Macaca mulatta: one gene and its partners. The protein of the gene in region 1 binds, or shares a complex with, the protein of each later gene. Links are inferred from orthologs where the notes say so. Each region holds a gene or a part of one and is shown on either strand. Other genes may lie near its edges. The genes, in order: guanine nucleotide-binding protein G(s) subunit alpha isoforms XLas, OR51E2, SCTR, HRH2, GPR3, FZD3 and GPR21.

Region 1 (3,219 bases):
TTCATTTTGGTGTGTGCAATGAGGTAGGGATCCAGTCTAAATTTTCCCCAAATGGCTACACCATTTCTTGAATAACCCCATTGATTTGAAACGCGGCGCTCCTGTATTTCTCCACATCATTTAGTCCCTATCTTATAGCAAAAAATACACTACTTTTCTTAGGAAGCCTGGGTCAGCAGGCAAACTGTGTGATGATGTAATGGCATAAGTTGGCAGAATCTTTGGATAGGATGGCAGTGATCAAAATGTAGAGGTGACTGGGGCATAGTGGTCCACTATGGGGTAAAAGTTTGGGAGATCAACAGGAGTGGACTTTTCCTATTGTCTGAAAATTATTTCAAGACACCTACATTTTACAGTCACCAGAAAACATACAGTGGTGAGATTTTATACCCACTTCACCTTGGGGCCTCCCAACTTTTGATGTAAGGGCCAAGTCAAACCATGAATGACAGGAATCTGCGCAGAACCACAAATAACTCACGGGAGTCCCATCATTCTTTGCTCACATTTAATTTTTATTTTGATTTTTTTTAATGCTGCACAACACAATATTTATTTCATTTGTTTCTTTTATTTCATTTTGTTTGTTTGCTGCTGTTGTTTTATTTATTTTTATTGAAAGTCAGAGGGAACTTCTGTGGCCTTTTCTCCTTTTTCTGTAGGCCGCCTTAAGCTTTCTAAATTTGGAACATCTAAGCAAGCTGAAGGGAAAAGGGGGTTTCGCAAAATCACTTGGGGGAAGGGAAAGGTTGCTTTGTTAATCATGCCCTATGGTGGGTGATTAACTGCTTGTACAATTACGTTTCACTTTTAATTAATTGTGCTTAAGGCTTTAATTAAATTTGGGGGTTCCCTTCTTAGAGCAGCTCGTACTGACGAAGGTGCATGCGCTGAATGATGTCACGGCAGTCGTTGAACACACGGCGGATGTTCTCAGTGTCCACAGCGCAGGTGAAGTGAGGGTAGCAGTAGTGACGCCCATCTCCACTGGCAGTGCTGATCCTCTGCGGGTACAAACGCAGGGACTCGTCAGTGACACCCTCGCCAGGAACCACCCTATCACTGATGGGGACACCTACCAGGGACGGCTGTTGGCCAGTCTCTGATGTCATATGAAAACGAAAGCAAAAGGAGGGGTGCAAAGAACTCAAATCCACACTGGATGTGCGTGAACTAAAACCATGGACCTGGGTAGCTGAACCCCTGAAGTAAATTTACATCCATGAGAAAAAGAGGAGGAGCAAGAGAGGAAACTAAAGACAGGCTCAACTCACCAGAAACTCATCTCGAATGAAGTACTTGGCCCGGGTCACGCGTGGGTCCTCTCCGGGCTCGGGAGTAGCTATAAAAAAAAGGGAATATATATTAATGTAATTAAAAAGTCAAGCAGAGCTGGGGTGCTAGCATCATTGTAGCTCCTGAAGTCTTCAAAACCCTGATTTTTCCATATGAGAATTAATGCAAGTGTGTTTTTCTTGCTTCTCTTACAGATGCTTTATGGTTTGGTGGTGGGAGGGGGATGGCGGCTTTCAGCCCTACTGTTTGAAAAAGAACCACTGCAATGAACAGCCAGCAAAAGAGTGGAAGCCATACACACCATCCTCAGGAGTAGTGTAGCGAGCAAATTCTGGAAAGTAGTCCTCAATCTTCGATTTCCCAGCAAGGACTTTCTCAGCGAGCAGATCTTGCTTGTTGAGGAACAGAATCACAGAGATGGTGCGCAGCCATCTACAAGAAGGGAGGCCGTGTGAATGCCCGGGAGAAGCGCGCTTTTGGCCAGGGGTCTGGAATGCTTGCACAGGGTTCTTTTCTACAAACAGTGCAGACCAGGGCCTCCTGGGCAAGCGCAGGGGGTGGGCGGTCACTCCACAAACCTGTTGTTCCAGATGCTCTTGAAGAGGTTCAGAGCCTCCTGCAGGCGGTTGGTCTGGTTGTCCTCCCGGATGACCATGTTGTAGCTGCTGCTGGCCACCACGAAGATGATGGCAGTCACATCTTAACCAAAGAAAGCAAAGCCAAGAGCGTGAGCAGCGACACTGATCCCTAACAACACAGAAGCAAAGCGTTCTTCACGAACAGCCAAGCCCACAGCGTCCTACCATTGAAGCACTGGATCCACTTGCGGCGTTCATCGCGCTGGCCACCCACGTCAAACATGCTGGTGGAGAGGAAGACAGCTGGTTATTCCAGAGGGGCTGGGGTAAATGTCAAGAAACCATGATCTCTGTTATATAAAAAGGTAACAGTGGGCTTACTGGAAGTTGACTTTGTCCACCTGGAACTTGGTCTCGAAGATTCCAGAAGTCAGGACGCGGCAGCGAAGCAGGTCCTAGAACAAAATTGAGGTCAATGGATCTCAGCAAAGCCAATCGAAATAGTAATAATTTCCAATCTAAAGCAAAAGTCTGGGGTAGTTTGGGAAGAGGGCTCAGGGTCCTCTGGTGGTGAAGGGTTTTGCACACCTGGTCGCTCGGCACATAGTCAGCCTGCTTGATCACATCGATCTTGTCCAGGAAGCTGGGAGAAAAAGAAAGGCACATGGGGTGTTCACAGCGTTCACATTAATTTGCCAACTATTTGTGTCTCTCTACAAGGTCAGGCTCAACGGAAGTGACCGTCCCACAGTTATGCAGCACTAAGTCAATGGCATATTTGCTTGTGTGTTGGTTACATTTATAACTCAAAGCTGATGCCTTAAGAAAGTTAGGCCAAATGGGATTTAAGATAAATAATTTTAGGAATCAGGGAACTCTAGATGCGTCTAGCAGCTAGCCTGCGGCCTCGGTGCAGTGGGGCCACACAAACAGCACAGGACAGTGGTGGGGCTTTGTTCTTCATGTTTATTTTTTTCTATTTTTCTTTTTTCTTCTTTACTTAGCTTGTTTATTCCTGTTGCTCTCTGGTAATATTCTTGATTTTTAAAAGGTTTTATGCATATCAACCAGTAGAGAAAGGACCCCAAAACCAGGCTGACCTATCACAATCTGTGCCATTTGGTAATGCTTGACAAAAACATTTCAATTTTCAAATTTCCTGCCTAAAATGGCAGTTTGAAAATTGTATACCTCTGTATCATTCAGTTAAAAAAATAAATAAATAAAGTGACATTCTTAAAAACATCAAGGACTTTCTCCTCAAGGGCACATGAGATTGTTTTAGTTACTGAGAATCTGTAGCCCTTCCTTTTCACTTTTTAAGAATCTCATTGATTAAAGG
Region 2 (4,116 bases), on another chromosome or scaffold:
AAGAAAATCACTCAGGCCATCACATTTTCAGTAGTGAAACAGACTTGATAGTGGGGAGGATATAATATCGGAAGCAGGGAGAATGGTTAGGAAACTACTGAAATTACTCAAGTGAGAGATAATTGTGACTTAAATAAAGGTGACATTTCTGGAGATGATAAAGAGTGATCAATTTCTGGTCGTATTTTTCAAAGAGATTGACAAAATTTACTGATGGATTAAATGCAGGATGTAAGAGACAGAAACCGAGAATGAATCCAAGTCCCACATGCCCGAAGAGTGGTCCAAAATTAGTGGGAATATCTAAGGATTTAAAGAGGTCATTAAGTAGACAAGATGGACAACTTATAGCAATCTATGCATTCTATTTATTAAAGACTAATGAGAGCAATAGTAACCTGACAGAAGGTGACATCAATCACCCATCTACCCACAATTTTTCTTGATATAATACAAGATTTTCAAAATTAGACTACAAGTAGGGAGAACCCCAAATTATTGTGACTAATTCTCTTCAACCTGGTAGGTTGGGACTTCAAAATATAAAACAGGTCAAAATTACAAAAAATAAATGAAACTGTATTTTATGCACAACTAAGTTGTGAACTAAGACTTTTTTACCTACCGTATTCACCAAACATTTGGTTCATGCCTCTAGGATAACCTTATCATTGGTTAACACGTAATTATTGGTTAACCTATCTTCTACACTAAAATCCTAAACAGTAAGAATTATGGTGTATTCTTAAAAAAAACTCTATCACTGAGCATAATGTTTAGAATATGGGACATTCTTATGAAATATTTACTGGTTATATGTATGGATGAGTAAATGAATTATTTTTTATCTATAAGAGAAAGACTGCTGCTGCAAAGAACCACAAGCAGACTAATGAAACCATGCTGCTGTGAATAATAATAGATACTGAGGAGTTAAGGGCTAGAGTTGGACTCTCACTCATAATAGGAGATGCCATTTAGCAATTTGATACAGTATTTTGTCTTTTAAAATCTCCTTCAGAGTGACTGCTAGTGATTATGAGGTTCCTTTTAAGGGTAATGAAAATGTTCTAAAATTGAATTGTGATGATGTTTTTTGCACAGTTCTGTGACTTTACTAAAAACAATTGAATCATACACTATAAATGGGTGAATTTTATAGTATGTGAATTATATATCAATAAAGCTGTTAAATAAAAAAGCTTTTGAGTAAATGACACATGAACAAAAAGTTACCTCAGCCCATAAAGCACATAGCCACCATAAGTAATTGCATAATGAAACGGATATAAAAGGACTATATGAGGCAAAAGAAGTCTTCTGGGAATCTCCACACCCTGAAGACACAGTGAGTTAGTAGCACCACCACCAGGAACTGGCCTCTCAGCTCTGTGCCTGTCTCCAATCAGGCTGGAATAAGTCTCCTCATATTTGAAAGCTTGGCCCTCCCCTGGAATCTAAAGCCTCTCAGCCTTCTGAGTCAGCCTGAAAGGAACAGGCCGGACTGCTGTATGGGCTCTGTAAGTAAAACTGTTTTGTTCAAGGAAAATGCTTGACTCTAGATGAATTGGACTTTCTCACCCACAGGGAATAATTTCTTCACAATGTGCAGAATTAGATTAGATGTTGGGATGGTGGGCTGAGGAGGATGGTAGAATTTGCAGAATTATTTATTCTCAGGAAATAGGTAGAGAATGGGTATTTTGTTCTGCCTGATACAGGTTGGATAACTTGTTTTTCGTCAAATGATTTAATTAGTGTGCTAATATATTTATCACAGTCAGTGAATCTCATTTCTATGCCCAATAGCTATTACTAAAAATGAAAAATTACCAATTTCGAGCACGTTGCATGCCAGCTACTGGTATTAGACACAGTGCATATCCTGTCTTATAGATGAAGAAACTGGATCACAGAAAGTTTGTATTATTTGTAGATTTCAGAAAAACAATTGTTTTTGAGAGCATGAGCTTTGGAATTAAAAACACGTGGGTTAAAAATTCAGCTCTGACTTTCACTAGTTGTGTGTGATTTCAAATATGTTTCAGAACTTCTGATACTCAGTGTCTTTACCAGAAAAATTAATTTAAAGTGAATCTAATAATACTTGTCACATGACGATATACTAAGAATTAAAATAATGCTTATAAAGCACTAAGGACAATAATGTTCACAAAACAAGTGTCCAGTAAATGGTTGCTATTTTTATGAGTAATATTTTTATTAATGGTGTAGATGGTCTCAAAACTGGTTAGTGTTTGAGCTAGAATCTGAACTCAGGTCAGTTACACACGATAGCCATACCATTGCCAATAGCATGGAGAATACTGATGACACTATACGGTCTAGTTCAGCAGATTAAGAGAGCCACAAGCTATAGCTTATAATAGTGCAGTGAAAGAAGAGTATCATCATAATCTGAGTAGGCAGGAAAATTAGTTGAGAGAATATACCTTATTTCGCAAGAGAGAAAATGAAGGTATGTATGAATTGCAGAGGATGGGTCGGAAAGATTTGAGAGTGAAGGCAGCACAAAAGAGAAGCTTGGGGGAAATTTAGTGCCTCCTTCTAAGAATATTCATTAGTCCCCCTCTAGTCTTGGATATAAACACTTAAGATTTTTTCAATGTAAGAAAAACACAATGAAATAATAGCTTCAAATACCCACTACTAACAATTGCTTGGCCTTCTTATATAGACCTCCCGAGGTTCTCATTTTTTGCATTTCAGGAGTAGAATCAATTAAAAACTAATCTTTATATGTAAGGGATGAGAGAGAGAAAGACGAAGGTGTGTGTGTGCACACATGTGTGTGCATATGGTGGGTAGTAATTTTAATTCAGTGATTTGCTAGAGTTCGATGCCATTTGCTGATAAATGAAGCAGGAGGAAGAGCCAAGTTTGGAAGGGAGGAGAGAATGAGTTCTATTTGTCTCATACAGAGGTTGAAGTAACTGAGTGATGATGGGTGAAGATGTCCCTCAGGGGTTGCCATAGTATTTTATTTACCTTTTATTCACCACGTGAAGCATGGAGCTTTGTTCTCCAAAGTGCTATCAATTATGTTTCTAAATTACAGGTTTGATTGCTTCACTGTATTTTCACATTTCATTACTACCTTTACACTTAAAACCAGAAACTTTGCCACAGCATTAAAGATTCTGCTAACTTTTAAAACATAGAACTCTGGAGATGCCATAATTAGATTGCAGATTTATGAGTCTTCTGGATATAAGTGCTATTTAAAGCCATGAGAATAACCAAGATATCTCAAGGAGAGCATATGAAAAGCAAGGAAAGAAGAGATACTTCTTGGGAGAAAAGCAGACTCCTCTAGACTCCCACAATTTATAAGGTAGAGAACAAAACCATTGTTTGACAAACAGAAAAAAAGAAAAAAAAACACCTCACAGAATAACCATCATTGAAGCTAATGAAGGAGAAAGTTTCAAGGAGGAGGAGGTAAACATTGCCGAAAGTTGAGATGAGGGAGAGAGAAACAAATCTGAGATTAAACTTTTGGACTTGGCATGTAGAAAATCACGGGTGACATCATTTGGAGGATTTTCAGAGTCATTAGGGAAAGAATTCAGATTGTTACTGAAGGTGAAGGAATAATAAACAAAAGCAGATTGTTCTCCAAAGGAATTTTTATCCTTATAAAAGATACAGCAGGAAATTGAGAAAGAAACAGGGTTTATGTCTTGTATCCCTCACTATCACTATCAAAGCACAAGGCTAATTATGAAAACTATTCAATATATCCTGGTTGAAATGAATGGTTTGGAAATATCTATATAAAACTGTGGGAAGCTTTTATTGTTGAGTTAGAGTAAAACTTGAGTATTGCAGACTGCAAAAAAGCAACCAATGGTACTAAACAAGATACTAAAGAGGGAAAGGAATTTTGTTGGCATTAAATGAGAAGAGATGGAAAATGATTTATTTATTAAAAGCAAAGCTCCTTGCTTCCAGTGGTCAATAAAAGGTGAATAAAATGTTTAGAAATGTCTGGCTCTTGATGCTCTGCAAAAATTTAAGTTCATTACACTTTCCACGAAATTCAGGATTTTCATGATTTGACCTCTGCTGCTTCCTCTAGCTTCATTTCCCACA
Region 3 (4,075 bases), on another chromosome or scaffold:
TCCGCAAACATCCTTGCACATTTCATTAGGCCCTTGGGTGAGTATTTATGTAGAAAGAGTTTCTAGAAGGAAGTTGGTGATTATGTATACTTTAGGTTTGATGTGTACTGAGCATTGATTTTGGACCTAGAAGCTGAATGGATTTTCCTCCCTTTTATTTCTTCTGGGATTTACCAGCCTTGATTTATTAACAGTCTCTTCTGGTAGGGAAGGCTGCTAAGGACAAGAGCACATTGTTACTTTACTAGCTGCATGGCCGTCTGAGTAGAGGCCAGTTACAGAGAGTCAGGTCAGCCATGGAAGGGTAGATCCAGGCTTTCCTGTCTGAGCCTCTGAGTTGCAGTACCCAGACATGTAATGAAACCTCCTCCACCTTCAATGCCCTCCTCTGTCAAATGGGCATCATATCACCTAGGGGTTTGAGGGAGAATTAAATGAGCTGATGTACTTCAAGTGCCTGGGAGAAAGATAAAGAAAGGGGGAGAGAGAAGAGGGAAGGGAGTAGGCACCAGTGCAGACAAAGAAAACTTGAGTTTACAAGACCCATCTAGGGCTGGACTCAGTGGCTCATGCCTATAATCCCAGCACTTTGGGAGGCCGAGGTAAGAGGATCTCTTGAGCCCAAGAGTTCAAGACCAGCCTGAGCAACATGGTGAAACCCTCTTTTTTATGTGACAGTAAAAAAAAGGCCATCTGGGGCGCCTTGTACTCCAGGATAGGGAGCACCCTTGGAGTGGGCTACTGGGACTATCTGCCTGAGGCTTAAATAGCTTCCCAGGCGGTTCATCCTCAGGACAGTCCCCAGATGCCTGAGTATACCACAGATCTTCCTTGGTCATCATCAAAGGAGGAGCTCATCGGAGTGAAACTTCATGGAATGGGAGCTAATGACTTCAATAATTAAGAAAAAAATACAGAAAATCGGAAATAAAGTGCAAGTAGCTGTCTGGGGAGAATAGATGCAATGGGCCTTGACTGTGTCACAACTTTCAGTCTGAGAGTGGGTATTCTCAGATGTGTTGTTAGGGCTGAGAAAGCCGAGGCTTACAAAGGTGACCTAAGTTGCCCACCGACCCCCTAGCGAGCTTGCGCCTTCGGTCCGTGGACTCCAGAAACAGTGCTCTTTCTGGACCTGGGGTAGTGCGGGATTGCCGCGTGGTAGACTAAGCCAGCGTGCCCTCTCCTGGCCTCCTCCAGCTTGGGCCCAGACTGCGGGAGCCTACTCCGGCCCCCGCGCCCTCCCTCTGCCTCCTCCCCTGCTGGCCTCCGCGCCGGCCCCCAGCCAGTCCCCCGCCGGGTGGAGGAAGCGCGCCGGAGCCGCCGCGTCCTAATCAATGGGCTGGGCTGCTGAGCGCGCGCGGCCACCTGGTCCGAGGAGGAGCAGTCCCCGGGCCCGCCGCAGGTCGGGTGGCTCAGCCATGGCTCCTCTGGGCGCAGCGGCCGGCCGGAGCCCGGGATCGTGCGCGGGGCGCTGAACTCCCGAGTGGGCAAAGGGCACGGGCGGGTGGACGTCGGGGCGCCCTCGGGGAACGTGCGGGCACGATGCGTCCCCACCTGTCGCCGCCGCTGCAGCAGCTACTACTGCGGGTGCTGCTCGTCTGCGCCGCGCACTCGGTGAGTACTGCCCCCTTCTGAAGGCTAGGGGACCCAGGGAGCGACAGTCTCGCCGCTTCTCCGGCCTTGGCAGGATGCGGGTGGAGGGGACTAGCAGATCTTCCGCTGAGGAATGGGGACTCTTCCCTGTCAATCCTCCCAACATTAATCTCTCCCAGCTCTTCTCCGCAGGGACCCCTTCCCAAAGAAAAACCTTGTGCGCGCCACGCGAAGGCAGCTCCAAGATGAATCCCCGTGCCCCCCACCCACCCCTTCCTCTAGCCTGGCTTCTGAGACACTCCTAGACGGAAATTCTGGAGCCGCCCCGGGCAGTGCCTATTGTGTCCTGGGCGCTTTGCCTCCAATCTTTCCTTGAAACCTCTCAATCACCTTTCGAGGCTGCTATTACCATCCTCACTTTATAGACAAGGAAAGGAAATGAGAGGGGGAATAACAATTCTTGCTCCAAGTCAGAAGAAGAGGATTGCAACCCACATCAGTATCAGTCTGCCCCCAAACCTTGACATTTTCACACTCACGGGCTGCAGATGGGAAAACCTGAAGGGAGCTCCGGCAAGAGCTTCCGGGTCTGCGATGGGACCGTCTGCCACTCTCCCCACACCCTCTCGTGTGGGACGCGGCTCCCTAATGTCTGCGTGTCTGGTGGCTGCTGGGTGCTGCTGTTCCCCAAAGCCAGGTCCTGGCAAGCGGCTGGAGGAGGAAAATACTACTACTAATAATAATAGCGGCAGGATGGGTGGTTTGTTTTTCTTTCCTACAGAAATTCCTGGGAGTCTCCGGCCTCTCGGAGCTCTGGGATCTGTGATAAAGAGAGTGGCCCCACCCAGACCAGCAGAAAGGAAGGAATGGGGAGGGAGTGGGGGTTAGAGGTGGGGGCCAGATTCCAGAATCATCCCTTCCCACTAGCATTCCAAACTGGTCCCCAAGGTGTCTGTTCCAAGAAGCTCCTAGGGAAAGTGCTTGGGGACCCAGTTGAGTCTCTGATCTCTGTCCTGGGCAAGTCTCCTGGTGTCCAACCTCCTTGTCTTCCCGTAGTCCCCTCCGGTTGGATTATAAGGAAAATCAATGCTCCCAATGTTGACACTCAGGAGATGCTCATTTTTCTGGTAGCCCCAAGACTTTCAGCAGCAGTAGTTGGGATGAGTGCAATTTGGAGCTTGCTTGGAACTCCCTTTCCACGGTGGAGCCTCCTCTCTTCAGTGGCAGTGCTGGCCTTGGAAGATGCTAGAGCAACAGCATGCACTCATGAGTTTCGACTCCCAGTTTGGAGAAATGCCAACTGGGATACTGGGGACAGTGTCAAGCCAGGTAGAGCCTGGAGGTGTGTTATTCCGTGGCTAGGGGTAGGAGAGGCAATAGCTCCTTCCTTGGGACCCTCCCAGCCTCCTTCTTAAGTATTTGCAGTGACTCTGAGACTGTCATAACTGGTACCTCAAGTGCAGGACTGAGGTTCAGTCTGCATTCTTGTCTCAAGAAAATTCCTGGATTATCACAGGAATAAGTGGAAGGGGAAAATGAGAGGCTTCCCTTGGTTTAAGTCTTCAGTGTACCTTGGAAGGATGCTTCATTAGGCTCTGGCCCCAATCCCTTATTTTAAAAATGAGCACACTGAGACCCTCAGAGAGAAGGGAGCTGCCCGACATCAGCAAGTTAGTAGCAGAGCCAGGACTAGCAGCTCTACTAGCCCCACACACCCCACTTAACCCACTAAGGTTAGCACCCAGGTCTCTTGATTCCCAACCATCCAGGGCTCTGTCTGTTATGCCCCTTCTTTTTCCTTTTTTTCTTTTTCTTTCTTTCTTTCTTTTTTCTTTTCTTTTTTTTTTTTTTTTTGAGACGGAATTCATTCTTGTTGCCCAGGCTGGACTGCGATGGCGCGATCTCAGCTCACTGCAACCTCCGCATCCCAGGTTCAAGTGAGTCTCCTGCCTCAGTCTCCTGAGTAGCTGGGATTACAGGCATACACCACCATGCCTAGCTAGTTTTTTGTATTTTTAGTAGAGATGGGGTTTCTCCATGTTGGTCAGACTGGTCTCAAACTCCTGGCCTCAGGTGATCCGCCTGCCTCTGCCTCCCAAAGTGCTGGGATTAGAGGCATGAGCCATGGCACATTACTGTCTTACATAATCATAAGATGGTTTTCTGTGTATAAGTTGTGGCCCTTGGATTACTTTATGGCTTCTGTAGACCTTATATCTCACACTTCTTGGCTGAGAACGCCTGTAATAAATAGGAGTGAAACTGACCTACTTTGGTTGGAATATTTCCCAGCCTCTGGAGCCCTGCTTTCCTTCTGTTTGACTCTGGGTGGTCAGACATTTGATTCTGAAATCTAAGTGTGTTCAAATAATTTTTTATTCATTAGAAGCTCCCCCTCGAGGGGAATTATAGGCATCTTCCTAATGGAGGGAGGTCACTGAGGGCAAATTGCTTATTACCACTCTCCCTCTACTCCATATAG
Region 4 (4,149 bases), on another chromosome or scaffold:
TCTTCCCCCTGCAGATGGCAGCTCAGATTGTTTTCCATTCTTGCCATTGCACATCTGCCAGTGGACATCCTTGTGCACATATCCTCATGACAGCAGTTGCACTGCCGTGGGCTGGGCTCCCTGAAGGATGGCTTAGATCTAAGCAACCTAGAGGGCCATCCATTATATATTGGAAATTTTAAAAGAAGTGAAGGAGAAGCAGTTGCTCAGTAGCGTGTATGCTGTGTATGGACAGTGCCCGGGGTGTGTCCATGTGCATGCAGAGGCATGAGAAATGCAGGAGGCCCCCACATACCAAATGGTCAGCAGCAGTCACTTCCTGGTGCAGGGGCGCAGGTGTGTGGTGGCCCTGATTTTTGGCCCTTTCTGTACACCTCAGGGGTACTTGGCTTACTGGAATAAGCCTGTCATCACTTGAGAAGTTTGAAAGGACAGTTTGAGAGACTATTTTTTGTTAGCTATGATGGTGACAACGATGGTGACAAGGATGACATGATTCTTCCTCACAGGCAAAGAGAAGCCATTGAAGGTTGCTCCATAAGGGGATGACGTGGCCCTCTAAGGCAATCCTTCTGCCCACATGGGACAGGAGAGGATGGGAGGGAGACAGAGCGCCGTACAAAATCACCTGCCCTCGAAAAAGGTGACCAGAATTTACGGGAGCTGGGCTTTAAATAGGAATACAGCAGAAGTGGTTCTTCTTTGAAAACTCCATGAAGAAAGGACTCACAGCTGTTTTGGTCATCATTGTCCTCCCAGCACCTGGAGAAGCATCTGACACATTCTGGGTTTTCAGAGAAATGTGTGTTGAAAAGGACTGAGGAAGAGAAGGAGGGGTGGGAGGGGAGAGAAGGAAAGAATTTTCTAATTATAGGAGAGGCTGGTTCACTCAGATTTGAAGACCTCTCATCCAAACATAACTCAAATGTCAGCCTGATGCCAAAATACCTATACCCGGCTGTTGGGGTAAGTCAGAAAAAATTTTGATGAGAAATAGGGATTCTCAAAAAAAATACCCTGATTGCTACCCCCTCCAAAGTTAATTAAGTGTGGCGGTGAGACCCATGCTGTTTGGGCTATTTATATAATGAAAAGATCTGCTAAAAATAATACCCGGAGGTTCAGCTGCCAGGACTGGTGGCTGAGCCAGGGAGGGTGGCAGAAGGTGATCGGGAACCCTGATCCCTGCACGAACACAATCGTTATGATTAAATGATGCTTCTCGTATTCAGGTTGCAAACCGCTCCAGGCAAGAGCCTGGGAGAGGCTTAATTTATGTTTTATGGAGATTAGCTTGCTTCTGAGAGGAGGTTCCACCGTCAACTCGATTTCTGCACACTCTCAGAGCTCAGGAGATTGCCTGCTCTCTGAAAAACCAGGAGAAGCTGGTAGGGAAGGACCGGGGCGTGGAGCAGGGCCTCCGCTTGTTTCTGGCCAGCTGGAATCATATACAGCCACCACTGGGAGGGCGCCTTGGAGATTATCTGGTGACCAGGGGCTCTTATTTAACCAAGAGGCATTGCACATGCAGTTACTTTATTGAAGTAGTGTTTGCACTACTTCAATAGTGCAAAGGGAGGAAGGGAGGAAGGAGAAACCACCCAAATGCCCGTGAGAGGGTGATATGGGGAAGATAGGATAAACCTATTCATGGTGAGCCTCCCCACAGACTCTTATGCAACCATTAGAAGGATTGAGTGAGTTCTGTCCCTGCTGACCTGGATGTGGGATCACGTGTTCTGCCAAGTAAGACCAGTAAGATTTAGAGATGTGTTCAGAGCAGGGGTGGCGTGGATGACAGGTGACGAACTGCAGACTAAATCTGGCCCTCTGCCTGGCTTTGTACAGCCCGTGGCTAAGAATGGTTTTTACATTTTTAAATTTTGGAAAAAGATCAAAAAGAGATTTTTGTGACACGTGAAAATGATATGAAATTTAAATTTCAGTGTTCATTACTGAAGTTTTGTTGGAGTGCAGCCACGCTCTTCTGTCTGCACGTCATCTGCATAGCTGCATTCTCACTGCAAAGGCAGAGCCGAGCCGTCACAGGCTGCTAGGCAGAACGTGTTTATTACCTGACCCTTTTCTGAAAAAGTTTGCCGGCCACCACCTTAGAGTATGAAGACATTTTGCCCAACAGCAGCACCAGATACTGTTCTCAGCACTTCAGAGGAGTAGATTCGTTACATTTGTTTATTCATTCATTCATTTTATCCTTTATTCATCAGACGCTTAATGTCTGTCTGTGGGGCCAGGCACCAGGAGCAAACAGATGCAGGCCCTCTTCTAGTGGAGCTGAAAGTCTGTGTCTAGATCCTTCTTTTCTCAGTGCAAGCACTTCCAGCTTTTCCAACTCTTCTCACAAGTCTCAGTATCTAACCCCTTGCATCCTGCCTCCCTTCTGCCTCCCCATTATGTATCCTGATTGCCCGAGTCCCTCCCAAAGAGAGGTATCCAGACTGGCCCCATACTTCCTGGGGTCTTGCCAAGAGGTTGAGATCTAGTAGAAGGATACATCTTGAATCGGGTCATGCTTTCTATCTGGTTTCAAGGTGCTTAACATCCAACCTTTGCCTTTTTAGCTCCTGCCCTCCACTGACTGCAGAGAGGGAGATCCTCAATACTTGACTCCATCACGCAGATGGGAGCAGGCACCAGCTATGGAGAGGGATACAGCTGTGTCTCCACATGACCCATCCTGTATGACACCAAAGCCACCGCCAGACAGTGCCTCGGATTCTATGCAAAACCCGGGGAGTGGAGACCTACCCCAGTCCCGGGAGGAAGCTAGCTCTTCAGGGGATCATCTGAGGACTGGAGTTTGATACATGAACCTGGCTTCAAGGCTTTGCTTTTCTCTATTCTTCATTCATATTCATTCTCAACACCTTAGAAGGTGTTGCTTAATTTATTTCTAGAAAAGCAGCCCAGAGTCAGTCATTGAAGCCTTCCCCACCCCCTGGCCAAAAAAAAAAAAAAAAAAATTGGACACATTTTGGCTCTGTTGGGAGCCTGGAATTCAGTGGTTGGCATAATTGTCACATTGGGAGCGGAGAAGCAGCAGCCAGGGGCCCTGGTCAGGGGACCGAGCCATAGGGTCCCAGCATGGCACCCAATGGCACAGCCTCTTCCTTTTGCCTGGACTCTACCGCCTGCAAGATCACCATCACCGTGGTCCTTGCGGTCCTCATCCTCATCACCATTGCTGGCAATGTGGTCGTCTGTCTGGCCGTGGGCTTGAACCGCCGGCTCCGCAACCTGACCAATTGCTTCATCGTGTCCTTGGCTGTCACTGACCTGCTCCTCGGCCTCCTGGTGCTGCCCTTCTCTGCCATCTACCAGCTGTCCTGCAAGTGGAGCTTTGGCAAGGTCTTCTGCAACATCTACACCAGCCTGGATGTGATGCTTTGCACAGCCTCCATTCTCAACCTCTTCATGATCAGCCTCGACCGGTACTGCGCTGTCATGGACCCACTGCGGTACCCTGTGCTGGTCACCCCAGTTCGGGTCGCCATCTCTCTGGTCTTAATTTGGGTCATCTCCATTACCCTGTCCTTCCTGTCTATCCACCTGGGGTGGAACAGCAGGAACGAGACCAGCAAGGGCAATCATACCACCTCTAAGTGCAAAGTCCAGGTCAATGAAGTGTACGGGCTGGTGGATGGGCTGGTCACCTTCTACCTACCACTACTGATCATGTGCATCACCTACTACCGCATCTTCAAGGTCGCCCGGGACCAGGCCAAGAGGATCAATCACATTAGCTCCTGGAAGGCAGCCACCATCAGGGAGCACAAAGCCACAGTGACACTGGCCGCCGTCATGGGGGCCTTCATCATCTGCTGGTTTCCCTACTTCACTGCGTTTGTGTACCGTGGGCTGAGAGGGGATGATGCCATCAATGAGGTGTTAGAAGCCATCGTTCTGTGGCTGGGCTATGCCAACTCAGCCCTGAACCCCATCCTGTATGCTGCGCTCAACAGAGACTTCCGTACCGGGTACCAACAGCTCTTCTGCTGCAGGCTTGCCAACCGCAACTCCCACAAAACTTCTGTGAGGTCCAACGCCTCTCAGCTGTCCAGGACCCAAAGCCGAGAACCCAGGCAACAGGAAGACAAACCCCTGAAGCTCCAGGTGTGGAGTGGGACA
Region 5 (4,026 bases), on another chromosome or scaffold:
TCAAGGCAAGAAACACAGGGAGAAAGAGCAGTCAGTCCCCCTGCCACAGGACTGGCCACATCTGTCACATCTGGAGAAATCTGCCCAGAGTGGTTCCCCTGGACTAAGGGCAGTCGGCGTTGGGGAAGAGGGAGCTCCTTCTTGCTCCACCCATCAGGATGCCTAAAATGAGAGGCTGAGAGGGGCCTGCCCTGAGGACTGAGCTGCCAGGCTTTCTGCTTCCAAGTTCTTCCCGGCTCCCCATCTCCTCCTGCTTCGGGGAAGTGCACCCCCGACTCCCTCCCCTCTGGCTTTCTAGATCCTTGAATAAATAATTCAGGTTTTGAAATCTTGCCAGGCCCACCCCTCCGGTGCTGTGAGGGCGCTATTGGGCTGACATGAGTGACGTCACCCAGCTCTTATCCCAGCCCCAGCATCATGGGACCTGCCCTGGCACCAACTTACCTGCCTGGTCACTGTCAGTCCGGACGCTCTACCCTGTGCCCCTCACCCTGGAGCCCACTCACCACGGCCACCTGCTATCTTCCTTCCAGGGCCCCACGGCCCTCATGGCTTAGCATTGTCGCTTCAGTACCCCAGCCCTTCTGACAGGGTCATAGTGACCTGAAGTCACCTGGACACTCCATGTTCCCAGGCTGCCGCCTCTGCCATCCCGGGGTCCCTGAACTCCTCCCTGCTGCAGAGTCACCGTCACACTGCCATGGTTGCCCTGGGGGTTTCCTCTCTACCGTTGGTGTCCCACGGCCATCACGCCCCCCAAGATTCTGTCACCATGCTAATGTCACTGCCACCCACCTCCCCGCTCCCTCGTGCTCCCCGTCATCGTCACCTCAGGGCCCCATCATCTTGGCAACCCTGTCATCCTCACCAGGGACGCCCAACCAGCCCCATCACAAGCTCTTCCTTCGTCATCTGGATCTCGTCAGCCTCTCTGCCACCCAAGGGTCCCATCACCCCACAGCCTAGCCGGGTCCCCTTCCACCACGTTCCCAGCAGCCTCCCTGAGACTACAAGGCTCTCCCACCGGCGCCGCTGAAACCCCCGGCCCGCAGAGGGCGCCGCGTCAAGGACAGCGCGGGCCGACTCGGGAGGAGGCGGGGCCGCAGCCACAGTCGCTTTTTATGAATGGGGGAGCGGGCGGCGCGAGGCCTCATTATTATGCCGCGCAACGCGCTCTGCGCCCCAGCGCTCCGCGCCCATTGGCTAATCGGGCCGCTGACGTCACCGAACCGGTGGCCGGGGGCGGGGCGGGACGGGGTGACTCACGCCGCTTCTCCCGCGGCCGCGGGGGCTTCTCGGGGTCCACGCACGCCCTGCGCCGCCAGGACCCGAGCGGAGCCTCCCCGCGGCCTGGCCGCGCCTGGTCCTGAGCGGTGAGTAGTGGGCCCCGCCGCGGACACTAGGGGTCCTGGAGGGCACGCAGGATGCTGGGGCACTGGGCCGGCGGAAGACTCCTAGCGGCCGGCCAGGGTCCGAATTCCAGGTGGGAATTCTGGGTTTAGGCGATTCTGGGTTAGCAGACGTGGGCCTAAGTGCTTGAGTGCTGGGGCTCAGTTGGATGACCCGGCGAAGGGTGAGCATTCCTGCAGGGACCCGAGGCCCTGGAGGGACTGATGGTCATCTGAGGTTAAGCCGGCAGGAGGCGTCTGGGGCAGGGACCCAGGCGTCCGAACAGCAGGAGGTGTCCGACTTGGGAATCCAGGTATCTAGACAGAAGGCGGAGTCAGGCCCCAAATCCAGGTGTCCGGGCAGAAGAAGGCATCTGACTCAGGGATCCGGGCTTCCAGCAGGGGGGTCTGCCTAGAGACCTAGAGATGCAGGCAGAAAGAAGGGTCCAGCCAGGGACAGAAGCCTGGGAGGGTGGCGGGTGGGGTCTGAGTTCCCAGGTGTTACCGCGGGAGTGCGGGGTGGTGGCTGGTGGGAGCTTCACGCGCATTCCCCGGGGGCGGAGTCTAAGGCTGGCAGTACTGAGAATCGTGAGGGGTCTGGGAGACTCAGGCACGAGCTAGCATCATCATCTCTGATGGGAGGGAGCAGAGCCGCTCAGTCTCCAGATGTTTCCCTACCCCAATCTTGAGCCTTTGGGGGCATCCCCTGGATCCTATGGCCCTCATCCGCTTATAGTACCCCTTCTTCTGTCTCTCCTCTGGTCACACACATGGAAAAAGAGACGTGCAGGACCTAGGACAGGGATCCCCAGGAAGAGACCCCTGTTTAGAGGCCTGGGGGCATTGGAGAGGACAGCGGTATCCTGGGAGGAGCCCCAGGGGATGAATGTGGGGATAAGGCGTTGGGACCCTATAAGGTATCCTGAGGAGAGACTCCCACCATGTATCCTGAGGGGCACCTCACCCCCTCCAGACCCCACCTCGCATCATCCAGCTTGGTCAGCTTCTCACAAGGCCTTTCTCCTACAGGTACCATGATGTGGGGTGCAGGCAGCCCTCTGGCCTGGCTCTCAGCTGGCTCAGGCAACGTGAATGTAAGCAGCGTGGGCCCAGCAGAGGGGCCCACAGGTCCAGCTGCACCGCTGCCCTCACCTAAGGCCTGGGATGTGGTGCTCTGCATCTCAGGCACCTTGGTGTCCTGCGAGAATGCACTAGTGGTGGCCATCATCGTGGGCACGCCCGCCTTCCGTGCCCCCATGTTCCTGCTGGTGGGCAGCCTGGCCGTGGCAGACCTGCTGGCAGGCCTGGGCCTGGTCCTGTACTTTGCTGCTGTCTTCTGCATCGGCTCAGCGGAGATGAGCCTGGTGTTGGTTGGCGTGCTGGCAATGGCCTTTACCGCCAGCATCGGCAGTCTACTGGCCATCACTGTTGACCGCTACCTTTCTCTGTACAATGCCCTCACCTACTATTCAGAGACAACAGTGACACGGACCTATGTGATGCTGGCCTTAGTGTGGGGAGGTGCCCTGGGCCTGGGGCTGCTGCCTGTGATGGCCTGGAACTGCCTGGATGGCCTGACCACATGTGGCGTGGTTTATCCACTCTCCAAGAACCATCTGGTAGTCCTGGCCATTGCCTTCTTCATGGTGTTTGGCATCATGCTGCAGCTCTACGCCCAAATCTGCCGCATCGTCTGCCGCCATGCCCAGCAGATTGCCCTCCAGCGGCACCTGCTGCCTGCCTCCCACTATGTGGCCACCCGCAAGGGCATTGCCACACTGGCCGTGGTGCTTGGAGCCTTTGCCGCCTGCTGGTTGCCCTTCACTGTCTACTGCCTGCTGGGTGATGCCCACTCTCCGCCTCTCTACACCTATCTTACCTTGCTCCCCGCCACCTACAACTCCATGATCAACCCTATCATCTATGCCTTCCGCAACCAGGATGTGCAGAAAGTGCTGTGGGCTGTCTGCTGCTGCTGTTCCTCTTCCAAGATACCCTTCCGATCCCGCTCCCCCAGTGATGTCTAGCTGAGTCTTCGTGATCCTTCAGCCCTGATCACTACAGAATCCCAGAATGTTAGGCTCTCCAGGGCTTCTTTCCAAACCCCCAGCTCCACACCCCCCAGACCCAGCTGGTTCTGGAGTTCTACGACATTGGGTGTTTGAAGGTTCTTGTTCAGATCCCTGTGGGGGTCCAGCTGGCTCCATGGTTCCAGAATGTTCAGGTGGTCAGGGATCTACTCAGAAATGTCTCACAGCCCAGCTGGCTTGCAATTCCGGAATGCTGGGAGTTTTACAGTGCCATTCCAAGTCCCAGATGTCCCTCCTCCCCCATACTTGACCTTAACCATGTCACTTTACGTTTGAATTTCTGAACTAAAGAGTCAGAGAGATTAGTCACATAGTTGCCTAAATAGGAGAGAGAAAGATTATATACGCGCACATACAAAGAGAGTGTCTATTTATGATTTATTTATTTATAAATTTACTTATGGGTGGTAAGGGGGGAAAAAGATACCCACACCTTGATATCCAGGCCATACCAGGGTACCCGTTGTCCCCTCACCCCCATTTCTGACCTCAGTTCCTGGAGGGGGGAAAGGGAGAAAGAGAAACCACGTATTTTGTTATTATTTTGG
Region 6 (3,516 bases), on another chromosome or scaffold:
TTAAGATTAAATGATATTCATAGTAAGACTACTAATCATGCTTCATTTAGCTACAGTGATTTTCCAATATCAAATCAATCACCACTTTGGACTGAGGTTATATATATTTCAGTTGTAAACAAGAATGATCCAGAATCTGAAAATAAGGGTGTGGGGCAAAAGCTGTAGCCTACTGGCTATTGGGCAAGGCAAGTGCAGACAATCAACTCACTATAGGAGGGCCTGGAAGCCAAGGTCTGGTGGCTTTGGCAAGATCACATCTCACTATAGAAAAATACAACAATGAATACAGAGAAAACGTTTTGCCATTTTGTAAGTGTGGTTACCACAAAGAACCTTATAATGTATGATGTTTATCTTATCACATGCCTCCACAAAGCAAATTTTGAACATTAAGTTCTGTATGAATCAATACTATTACATGGGAAAAGATGGCCACAAATTAAAATTTTTCCATCATGCATATGGATAAGTTATAAAAACACAGCCAGTAAAAGTAATATTTACAAAAGTTAGAAAAACAGCACAATTATAGGGGAAAGAATGCCCATCTCTTTATTCCACTGCTAATCCAAATCCTGAATATCTCTGGATGAAGATTATTTCGAGAGAATGCTGAGAGAACCTTTCATAGACTAATCAAATTCTTCTGTTATACTTTTATTCTATTAGCTAAAATACCCTTGCTGATTTATTAAATTCTCCTACAGTTTAAAAACACAGTTCTTTTTTCCCTTAGTGTAAATAAAACTACAAAGTCCTACTATTCATCTGAGAAGTAAACCTTGCATAGAAAATTTCTTTAATTCTGAAATTGTTTTATTAACTGAGCTACCAGAATGTTATCTCACAACTAGTTTACAGCATATGAAAGTTCACTACAAAGCAGTCACCACATATTTAGGATTTTTCTAAATATAAAATGAGTGGGTTTATAAAAATGCTTACCAGACAAATAATTATCTCTTCATAACCTAGAAAGACGAATTATTTTTGTGATGATAGAATTGTTAGTGTTTTGGATGCCTTGATGTTCCAAGTTTGATGCAATATAAAAAGCAAACATTTACCTTTCCAGTGGACACAATTTGTAGTTGACTGAAAGCATGTTAACAGTGAGTTACAGCAATCAGTCATGCAAAAGGCAAAGAATAAAATCTTTTTAAACAGCACAAGTTTTCCACCTTAGACAAGACAAATTAAGCACTGGTTCCATCTTCTTCAATAACCCGATTCATGCTGGTGCCATGTGTGATGTGAGTCATGGGATTATTACTGAGATCTCTGATGCTGCTATGTCGTGACTGTTCATTGAGTCGATGAGAACTACTATGCCTGGAGTGATCTGTTAGTCGTGACATGCTGCCATGAGGTAGTCTCTCCTCCATTCCTCTGTAACTGCAGGGCGTGTACCTGTCACGAGAGAGTTTATTTTGAAGTGGGTAACAGAACACACTAGAAAATTAATAACACTAATAATTTTCATAAAAACGCCTCAGTAAGGGAAATTATTAGGAAATCAACCATGAGAAAGTAATAACCAACTTTTGATTGCTTAACTTCGTTAACACTGTAGAATTATTGACATGGCCAACAAAAGAGAAGAAATAATCCACTCAGAATTAAGGTTCCATTCATTCTCTGCAAAAGGACAGAAGCTAAGATTAAATAAGGCTGATCGATTTAAAGCTGCACTAGATATGGATACCTTTGTCATTCAAATGAGTTTTGAACAGGGTGGGTTCAGGGAGAGGGGTAACAACAAATAGAAGAAATGTGGCATTGTCCCTGGCAGCCAAGAAGAGTGGCTATGATCAGTAGACGGGTACACTCAAATTTTATTAAAAGACTCTGATTGGAAGAGGGAGAATATGAAATCAGAGGTGAAATCGGTATAACCTAAAAAAATAAATAAATGAATAAACTGGCAAGCAATGATGACAGTATGTGCCGAAAGCTGCTTTCCAGATAGCCCAGTTAACAACTGAATTAACTACCTGTAAATTATCTTAATTACCTCTCATCAGGGCTTCAGGCTGTGAAGATGCTCCTTCATGGAAGCTACATCTGCTTGGAAGTTACGTCCTAACACTTTGTAACCTATATTCTGGCTAAAGTAAATTCTTTGTACCTTCAGCTCTAGACCCAGCTTGGAGTTTGTGAGCTGGGCTCCCTCTGCTAACTGCAGGCTGTCTCCTTCTCTGCACTTATCTTGGAAAGCAACAATGGAGCTGTTAAATTTTCTTTTGTTGCAGTCCTGACTCACTGAGCTTTGCCATGAGGAATAAGATTAGCTCTAGGCCAGTCAAGGTCAGGAAAATCAATTATGACTTTTTTATTAGGCCTTTGCTTATGGAGCTAGCATGCTATTTATCAATGATTCTGGCTTTATAGTGTGCTCTTTCAAGGTAAGGACCATATTTTATCCTTTAATCCCTAGTGCCTCAAGAAGTATTTGTTTAAAATACTTTTTGTTTATACTTACACCTATACATATACCATTTTGTAAAAGTATTTGATTTAGGATAATAAACCTCAAAGAAAACTTAGTATAATCTATAACTTTAATTAAGATTAAGTTTTAAGTAACGTTTCTAAAAATAATATATAGCAGGCTAGGTTTTTTTTTTTTTTTTAAACAGTCATCAAAAAAACTAATCATAAGCAGCTGCAGATCTGTTGGCTGTCAGAAAGCGTTAATCCACCATTCCTTCACAAAAATAATTGTAACAAATTTCATGACTCAGTGTGAATTATTTATAAAATTTAAAGATAGATTCATACACCACAGAGGTGATCTTCTAGTAACATTTTCATTAGATCAGAGTTTAAAACTTGAGAAGTCCTTTGAAAATTATTTTTTCAAAAAAACATGTATTTTGGCCGGGCGCAGTGGCTCTGGCCTGTAATCCCAGCACTTTGGGAGGCTGAGAAGGGCAGATCACCTGAGGTCAGGAGTCCAAGAGCAGCCTGGCGAACATGGTGAAACCCCGTCTCTACTAAAAATACAAAAATTAGCTGGGCGTGGTGGTGGGCACCTGTAATCCCAGCTACTTGGGAGGTTGAGGCAGGAGAATTCCTTCAACCTTGGAGGCAGAGGTTGCAGTGAGCCGAGGTCGCACCACTTTGCTACAGCCTGGACGACTAGGGCGACACTCTGTCTCAAAAAACAAAAACATGTATTTTTGTTTCAGTAAAGCAAAAAAGAAAAGTTAAATATGAAAAGATAAATATTTTAAACATTTCTCATGTTAATAGGTAAAATGTTATTTCTCATTCATTAAAAGATAACTTCATATTTAGGACCTAAAACAGTTTTAAATTTGTTCTGCATGTTTCGGTAAATAATGACAATGTTTGCAGATGAAAACATTTCAGAATGGGCTTGTTATTCTAGTCTAATAATTATTATTCTGCATAATGGTTGTTGCCTTAAAACTGAGTAGAAGATTTTTCCAAGTTTCCAAATATGACTTGGCAGCTGATTTGGAGATCTTTCACCTCTCAATGGCTACC
Region 7 (4,207 bases), on another chromosome or scaffold:
GGCCATTTGTCTGTAATAAGAAAGCATGTGTATAAAATGAATTAAAAATGAAAGTTGGATCACACATTTTACTCAGTTGCCTACCTCTTGGAAAGCTTTCAAATGATAGCATTTGTTTATTGTCTTTTACTCTGCTGGATACTTTCAATTAATCCTTCTAAATACTAAAATTACACATTTTCATAGCACCCAACTCTGTTACCTGAAAATTGTCATCATTTATGACATTACTAGGAAAACCACAATATAATCCCAGTTTGCATTGTTTTAAATAGGCAGAAACAAGATTGTATATTCTAAGATACAAAGGCTTATTTGTACCATGAAACCTCCTGTAATATCCATGCCTGAGTAGAAGAAGGTACATTTACTTTTCTATCTTTTGTTTGTATTCTTGTATACTGCTCAGCAAATTAGAAGCAAGAAATGTATCTCAAAACTATAGGGTAGTGTCAAATATGGGAACAATGTAATTTCTCTGTGCTATTTCTGTAGTATTCAGAATGGGAAATACTTTACTTTTCTCTTGAAAAAGTGATTTTAAAGTTTCTTGGCCAATATTCAGTGAATCATGAGAGACAAAATTAATGGTGAATAGCCTTCTAGCTAGAACTTCTTGTGCAGCTGAATTATGATTGTCAGTTGCCATATGCCATACACTTAAAGGAGGTTAATATACTTCCTTTCTTTAATATTGCTCTTTGTTCTTTGGGAAAATGCCATGAGAAAATAGGAATTACCACTCTGGCAGTGTGTTTCAGTCTAACTCCTGACACCCTGTTCTGCTCCTGCCCCTTCTCCTTGCTAGCAGCCTGAATTCTGCTTATCTACTAAAAGGGGGATTCCAGACAGACGAGGAAACAGCTTTCAAATGAGGCACTGCAGGCATAGCAAGCCATTCCCACACTGTGCAATCTGGAAATCAGGGGGCACCTCTCTGACGATGAATTCCAATTAGTTGCTAAAGATTCCGGAGTGTGTGCACATACAGGCGTTTTCTTTCCCCTCCCCCTTTCTTCTTTTTCCCAAGCCCCCTCTTCTCCCTGTTTCCCCTCCTACTCCTTTATCCCCTCCCTTCGTGTCTCAGTTCTGCAGTACGCGAGTTGAAGCACATTCCTGCTTTGCAAGGCTTTCTGTTAAGGATGTATTGTGGCTTTTGTTTGGATTGCAGCATGCAGAATTACAGGTAACATTCTGAAATTGAACTAAACAGCAAATTCTGTTGAAATGTTTTCAAAGAGGCAAAATATTATATTGGAATCAATGAAGAAAGTAAATTATTTTGGCTATTTTTATTAGTGGTAATTGTAGTGAAAGGTTTTCATAAATATTATAAGCAAATTCCCTTTTTCCCCCAAGTCTCAAATGAAAGGAAATGGGGGTAAATTAATCTGACTGTGATTGGTTTTGTTTTATGCTGATCTTGAAAGCTTGATGTTGCTGCTGCTCCTCTATACAGTACAGATCAGTTATGTGGGGTGCTATTGAGGGTAGCCATGAATAGTGGTGCTAGTAGGGGTGGAGTGGGAGGGATGATGCCAGCCTGAGCTAGCCAGGTTCTTTGATTAGGGCATTGGATGTGAAATGTAAAATGCTCTCTCCTTTTCTTCTATCAGCTGTTCAGAGGAGACTCATTACAACTCCTGCTGAAGCTCCTAATCTTCTTCCCTTCTCTTCTACCCTTTCCCCCTACCCTCACTTGGCCTGAAGACGTTGTCCCCAGAGTTTACGTTGCTCCCCTGGTGCTATGTGTATGGTGAACCTGGCGCTATGGCCACGTCTGGGACTGGCCAGACAACTACTGCTGGCTCTCCTTATTCCAGGAAGGATTTAAAGGGGAATTGCACTGCAGGCAATGCACCAGAGCAGCAGCATCGGGAGCTTGGGGACTAAGGCTCCTCTGGCATTATTACACACATGCAAAGCTGACCGCAATGACAGCAGCTGCTTCTTTGAACTGTTGGCAGCAGCCAAGCGGCAGCATGAAGTGACAGATCACTCCTGAGCTCAAGATGAACTCCACCTTGGATGGTAATCAGAGCAGCCACCCTTTTTGCCTCTTGGCATTTGGCTATTTGGAAACTGTCAATTTTTGCCTTTTGGAAGTATTGATTATTGTCTTTCTAACTGTATTGATTATTTCTGGCAACATCATTGTGATTTTTGTATTTCACTGTGCACCTTTGTTGAACCATCACACTACAAGTTATTTTATCCAGACTATGGCATATGCTGACCTTTTTGTTGGGGTGAGCTGCCTGGTCCCTTCTTTATCACTCCTCCATCACCCCCTTCCAGTAGAGGAGTCCTTGACTTGCCAGATATTTGGTTTCGTAGTATCAGTTCTGAAGAGCGTCTCCATGGCTTCTCTGGCTTGTATCAGCATTGATAGATACATTGCCATTACTAAACCTTTAACCTATAATACTCTGGTTACACCCTGGAGACTACGCCTGTGTATTTTCCTGATTTGGCTATACTCGACCCTGGTCTTCCTGCCTTCCTTTTTCCACTGGGGCAAACCTGGATATCATGGAGATGTGTTTCAGTGGTGTGCGGAATCCTGGCACACTGACTCCTACTTCACCCTGTTCATCGTGATGATGTTATATGCCCCAGCAGCCCTTATTGTCTGCTTCACCTATTTCAACATCTTCCGCATCTGTCAACAGCACACAAAAGAAATCAGCGAAAGGCAAGCCCGCTTCAGCAGCCAGAGTGGGGAGACTGGGGAAGTGCAGGCCTGTCCTGATAAGCGCTATGCCATGGTCCTGTTTCGAATCACTAGTGTATTTTACATCCTCTGGTTGCCATATATCATCTACTTCTTGTTGGAAAGCTCCACTGGCCACAGCAACCGCTTCGCATCCTTCTTGACCACCTGGCTTGCTATTAGTAACAGTTTCTGCAACTGTGTCATTTATAGTCTCTCCAACAGTGTATTCCAAAGAGGACTAAAGCGCCTCTCAGGGGCTATGTGTACTTCTTGTGCAAGTCAGACTACAGCCAACGACCCTTACACAGTTAGAAGCAAAGGCCCTCTTAATGGATGTCGTATCTGAAGTGGCTCAGTTACGGGGTTCCCCTGTGTGTGTGTGTGTGTGTGTGTTTTATCTCTAAGTATTCCTCATTCACTAGGAAATCTGAGACAGAATACTTTGACTCTAAGCAATAGCATGCAAATTATTCGTACGGATACCTTCTAAGTTTGTAGAAATGGTTTTCAAAAGTGCTTTTGAATTAGAAGACTTAAGATCATGAAGACAAATTGCTGTTGCTTTCAATTTTTGAAATGTCTTGGAAATGACTACAGTTCTCAGATTTAGAATGAATAAAGCCATATCTAACACCTCTTTCCAGCTGGCATGACTGAACCTGAGTGTGAAAAGCGTCAGCATTTTAAAAAGTCATCATTTTGTTGTCACTTTGTGGGTTATTTCCAGCTATTTAGGCTTCATGTGCAATTGATTTCTTCTAACAGGGAATAGTAAAATATAAATTAAAAGGTTTTAGAAATTATTTTTTATGTATGCCAAAGCATAACTACACTGCAAGTTTCAACACTGTCATTTAGAAAGCCAAATGTTCTATGTTTTATTCTCTTGAGAGAATTCTCAGTAGGGTGAATAATGTGAGCACATAAACACTAATTTTAGAATTTTACAGTGAACCATGAAGCAAAAGTGCAATCAAATTATACAGTTTATGAAAAACTGTGCTACTTTTTGTGCCATACTTCACAGAGATCTAAAGATATGTGTGCATAGAAGTGATCATGTTGTAGTATTTTTGCCTGTGCCTTTGTGTTATGTCTATATTTAGAATATCTGAATTGTTAGATTTATCTTTTATGGCAAAATGTGTTTAAGCTAAAAAATAATTCAGTGATAGGCTGTTGGCTGTACATTTTATAACAGTGACTATGTACAAAAATGTGTCTTTAATATTGTCTGTTCTTTCTATTCAAAGACTTCCGAAATATTAGAACATCAGGGAGAAGGGTATCTGTCATAAGCAACTGAGTCAGAAAGTATCCCATAGTATACTGATTGTTTTTTAAAAATATAAGGGAGCTGAGACATTTTCTTTGTGGTTAAATGGAATCAACTAGTTATTTTTGAAAAGTATTCTTTCAGTTAGTGCTAAGGAATCCACATTTGAAGAGGGGAAGGGGAAACTCTTAAGTCTCTTATTGCTATTCTCTTTC

The links.
Region 2: the proteins of guanine nucleotide-binding protein G(s) subunit alpha isoforms XLas (region 1) and OR51E2 are in contact, whole or in part, in a cryo-EM structure (PDB 8F76), measured with the Homo sapiens proteins. The link is inferred for Macaca mulatta from reciprocal best matches to the Homo sapiens genes GNAS and OR51E2. Residues at the interface, in NP_000507.1 of Homo sapiens: Gln31, Gln35, Arg38, His41, Asp215, Val217, Phe219, Tyr358, Phe376, Cys379, Arg380, Ile383, Gln384, Arg385, His387, Leu388, Arg389, Gln390, Tyr391, Glu392, Leu393, Leu394; in NP_110401.1 of Homo sapiens: Met58, Tyr59, Asp120, Arg121, Ala124, Ile125, Cys126, His127, Pro128, Leu129, Arg130, His131, Ala132, Leu135, Asn136, Asn137, Ile220, Thr223, Val224, Leu227, Pro228, Ser229, Glu232, Lys235, Ala236, Thr239, Cys240, Lys294, Thr295, Lys296.
Region 3: the proteins of guanine nucleotide-binding protein G(s) subunit alpha isoforms XLas (region 1) and SCTR are in contact, whole or in part, in a cryo-EM structure (PDB 6WZG), measured with the Homo sapiens proteins. The link is inferred for Macaca mulatta from reciprocal best matches to the Homo sapiens genes GNAS and SCTR. Residues at the interface, in NP_000507.1 of Homo sapiens: Gln35, His41, Val217, Phe219, Thr350, Tyr358, Phe376, Cys379, Arg380, Asp381, Ile383, Gln384, Arg385, His387, Leu388, Gln390, Tyr391, Glu392, Leu393, Leu394; in NP_002971.2 of Homo sapiens: Arg174, His178, Tyr239, Leu240, Leu243, Leu244, Ala245, Ser247, Phe248, Ser250, Glu251, Arg252, Leu320, Lys323, Thr326, Gln327, Thr329, Arg339, Arg342, Ser343, Leu347, Tyr388, Leu391, Asn392, Gly393.
Region 4: the proteins of guanine nucleotide-binding protein G(s) subunit alpha isoforms XLas (region 1) and HRH2 are in contact, whole or in part, in a cryo-EM structure (PDB 9IXJ), measured with the Homo sapiens proteins. The link is inferred for Macaca mulatta from reciprocal best matches to the Homo sapiens genes GNAS and HRH2. Residues at the interface, in NP_000507.1 of Homo sapiens: Gln35, Arg38, Ala39, His41, Asp215, Lys216, Val217, Asp343, Leu346, Arg347, Thr350, Tyr358, Phe376, Arg380, Asp381, Ile383, Gln384, Arg385, His387, Leu388, Arg389, Gln390, Tyr391, Glu392, Leu393, Leu394; in XP_006714928.1 of Homo sapiens: Arg116, Ala119, Val120, Met121, Pro123, Leu124, Arg125, Tyr126, Pro127, Val128, Ile205, Val208, Ala209, Gln212, Ala213, Arg215, Ile216, Ile219, Ser220, Trp222, Lys223, Lys231, Ala232, Thr235, Leu236, Leu291, Asn292, Arg293, Asp294, Arg296.
Region 5: the proteins of guanine nucleotide-binding protein G(s) subunit alpha isoforms XLas (region 1) and GPR3 are in contact, whole or in part, in a cryo-EM structure (PDB 9LYB), measured with the Homo sapiens proteins. The link is inferred for Macaca mulatta from reciprocal best matches to the Homo sapiens genes GNAS and GPR3. Residues at the interface, in NP_000507.1 of Homo sapiens: Gln35, Arg38, Ala39, His41, Val217, Phe219, Asp323, Asp343, Leu346, Thr350, Tyr358, Cys359, Phe376, Cys379, Arg380, Asp381, Ile383, Gln384, Arg385, Met386, His387, Leu388, Gln390, Tyr391, Glu392, Leu393, Leu394; in NP_005272.1 of Homo sapiens: Met75, Arg134, Ser137, Leu138, Tyr139, Ala141, Leu142, Tyr144, Tyr145, Glu147, Ile216, Ile219, Val220, Arg222, His223, Gln226, Ile227, Leu229, Gln230, Arg231, His232, Lys244, Gly245, Thr248, Arg300.
Region 6: the proteins of guanine nucleotide-binding protein G(s) subunit alpha isoforms XLas (region 1) and FZD3 are in contact, whole or in part, in a cryo-EM structure (PDB 8JHI), measured with the Homo sapiens proteins. The link is inferred for Macaca mulatta from reciprocal best matches to the Homo sapiens genes GNAS and FZD3. Residues at the interface, in NP_000507.1 of Homo sapiens: Lys34, Tyr358, Gln384, His387, Leu388, Tyr391, Glu392, Leu393, Leu394; in NP_001399840.1 of Homo sapiens: Arg232, Lys318, Ser321, Glu322, Leu397, Val400, Lys408, Lys413, Leu414, Phe417.
Region 7: the proteins of guanine nucleotide-binding protein G(s) subunit alpha isoforms XLas (region 1) and GPR21 are in contact, whole or in part, in a cryo-EM structure (PDB 8HMV), measured with the Homo sapiens proteins. The link is inferred for Macaca mulatta from reciprocal best matches to the Homo sapiens genes GNAS and GPR21. Residues at the interface, in NP_000507.1 of Homo sapiens: Gln35, Arg38, His41, Val217, Pro321, Asp323, Arg342, Asp343, Leu346, Arg347, Thr350, Tyr358, Cys359, Pro361, Phe376, Cys379, Arg380, Asp381, Ile383, Gln384, Arg385, His387, Leu388, Gln390, Tyr391, Glu392, Leu393, Leu394; in NP_005285.1 of Homo sapiens: His61, His62, Thr64, Arg127, Ala130, Ile131, Thr132, Pro134, Leu135, Thr136, Tyr137, Asn138, Thr142, Pro143, Ile214, Ile217, Cys218, His221, Thr222, Asp224, Ile225, Arg228, Gln229, Arg231, Phe232, Arg249, Tyr250, Val253, Leu254, Asn308.

Annotation. Positions count from the first base shown.
Region 1 is NC_133415.1:111,699,117-111,702,335, reverse strand, and holds the end of guanine nucleotide-binding protein G(s) subunit alpha isoforms XLas, read right to left. Parts: exon of another isoform or gene 2,521-3,219; coding exon 2,466-2,520; exon of another isoform or gene 2,333-2,465; coding exon 2,259-2,332; exon of another isoform or gene 2,162-2,258; coding exon 2,103-2,161; exon of another isoform or gene 1,999-2,102; coding exon 1,878-1,998; exon of another isoform or gene 1,732-1,877; coding exon 1,601-1,731; exon of another isoform or gene 1,494-1,600; intron 1,346-1,493; coding exon 1,278-1,345; intron 1,008-1,277; coding exon 861-1,007; 3' UTR 501-860; downstream 1-500. UniProt on the Homo sapiens protein: Guanine nucleotide-binding proteins (G proteins) function as transducers in numerous signaling pathways controlled by G protein-coupled receptors (GPCRs).
Region 2 is NC_133419.1:71,235,958-71,240,073, forward strand, and holds the start of OR51E2 (olfactory receptor 51E2), read left to right. Parts: upstream 1-1,316; 5' UTR 1,317-1,511; coding exon 1,512-1,520; intron 1,521-4,116. UniProt on the Homo sapiens protein: Olfactory receptor. Activated by the odorant, beta-ionone, a synthetic terpenoid. The activity of this receptor is probably mediated by G-proteins leading to the elevation of intracellular Ca(2+), cAMP and activation of the protein kinases PKA and MAPK3/MAPK1.
Region 3 is NC_133417.1:17,985,522-17,989,596, forward strand, and holds the start of SCTR (secretin receptor), read left to right. Parts: upstream 1-1,275; 5' UTR 1,276-1,542; coding exon 1,543-1,614; intron 1,615-4,075.
Region 4 is NC_133411.1:184,605,080-184,609,228, forward strand, and holds the start of HRH2 (histamine H2 receptor), read left to right. Parts: upstream 1-1,349; 5' UTR 1,350-3,105; coding exon 3,106-4,149. UniProt on the Homo sapiens protein: The H2 subclass of histamine receptors mediates gastric acid secretion. Also appears to regulate gastrointestinal motility and intestinal secretion. Possible role in regulating cell growth and differentiation.
Region 5 is NC_133406.1:213,563,329-213,567,354, reverse strand, and holds the start of GPR3 (G-protein coupled receptor 3), read left to right. Parts: upstream 1-1,226; 5' UTR 1,227-1,373; exon of another isoform or gene 1,374-1,483; intron 1,484-2,417; 5' UTR 2,418-2,422; coding exon 2,423-3,415; 3' UTR 3,416-4,026. UniProt on the Homo sapiens protein: Constitutively active G-protein coupled receptor that maintains high 3'-5'-cyclic adenosine monophosphate (cAMP) levels that a plays a role in serveral processes including meiotic arrest in oocytes or neuronal development via activation of numerous intracellular signaling pathways.
Region 6 is NC_133413.1:30,306,517-30,310,032, reverse strand, and holds the end of FZD3 (frizzled-3 precursor), read right to left. Parts: intron 1,414-3,516; coding exon 1,200-1,413; 3' UTR 501-1,199; downstream 1-500. UniProt on the Homo sapiens protein: Receptor for Wnt proteins.
Region 7 is NC_133420.1:24,744,776-24,748,982, reverse strand, and holds GPR21 (putative G-protein coupled receptor 21), read left to right. Parts: upstream 1-1,407; 5' UTR 1,408-2,012; coding exon 2,013-3,062; 3' UTR 3,063-3,933; downstream 3,934-4,207. UniProt on the Homo sapiens protein: Orphan receptor.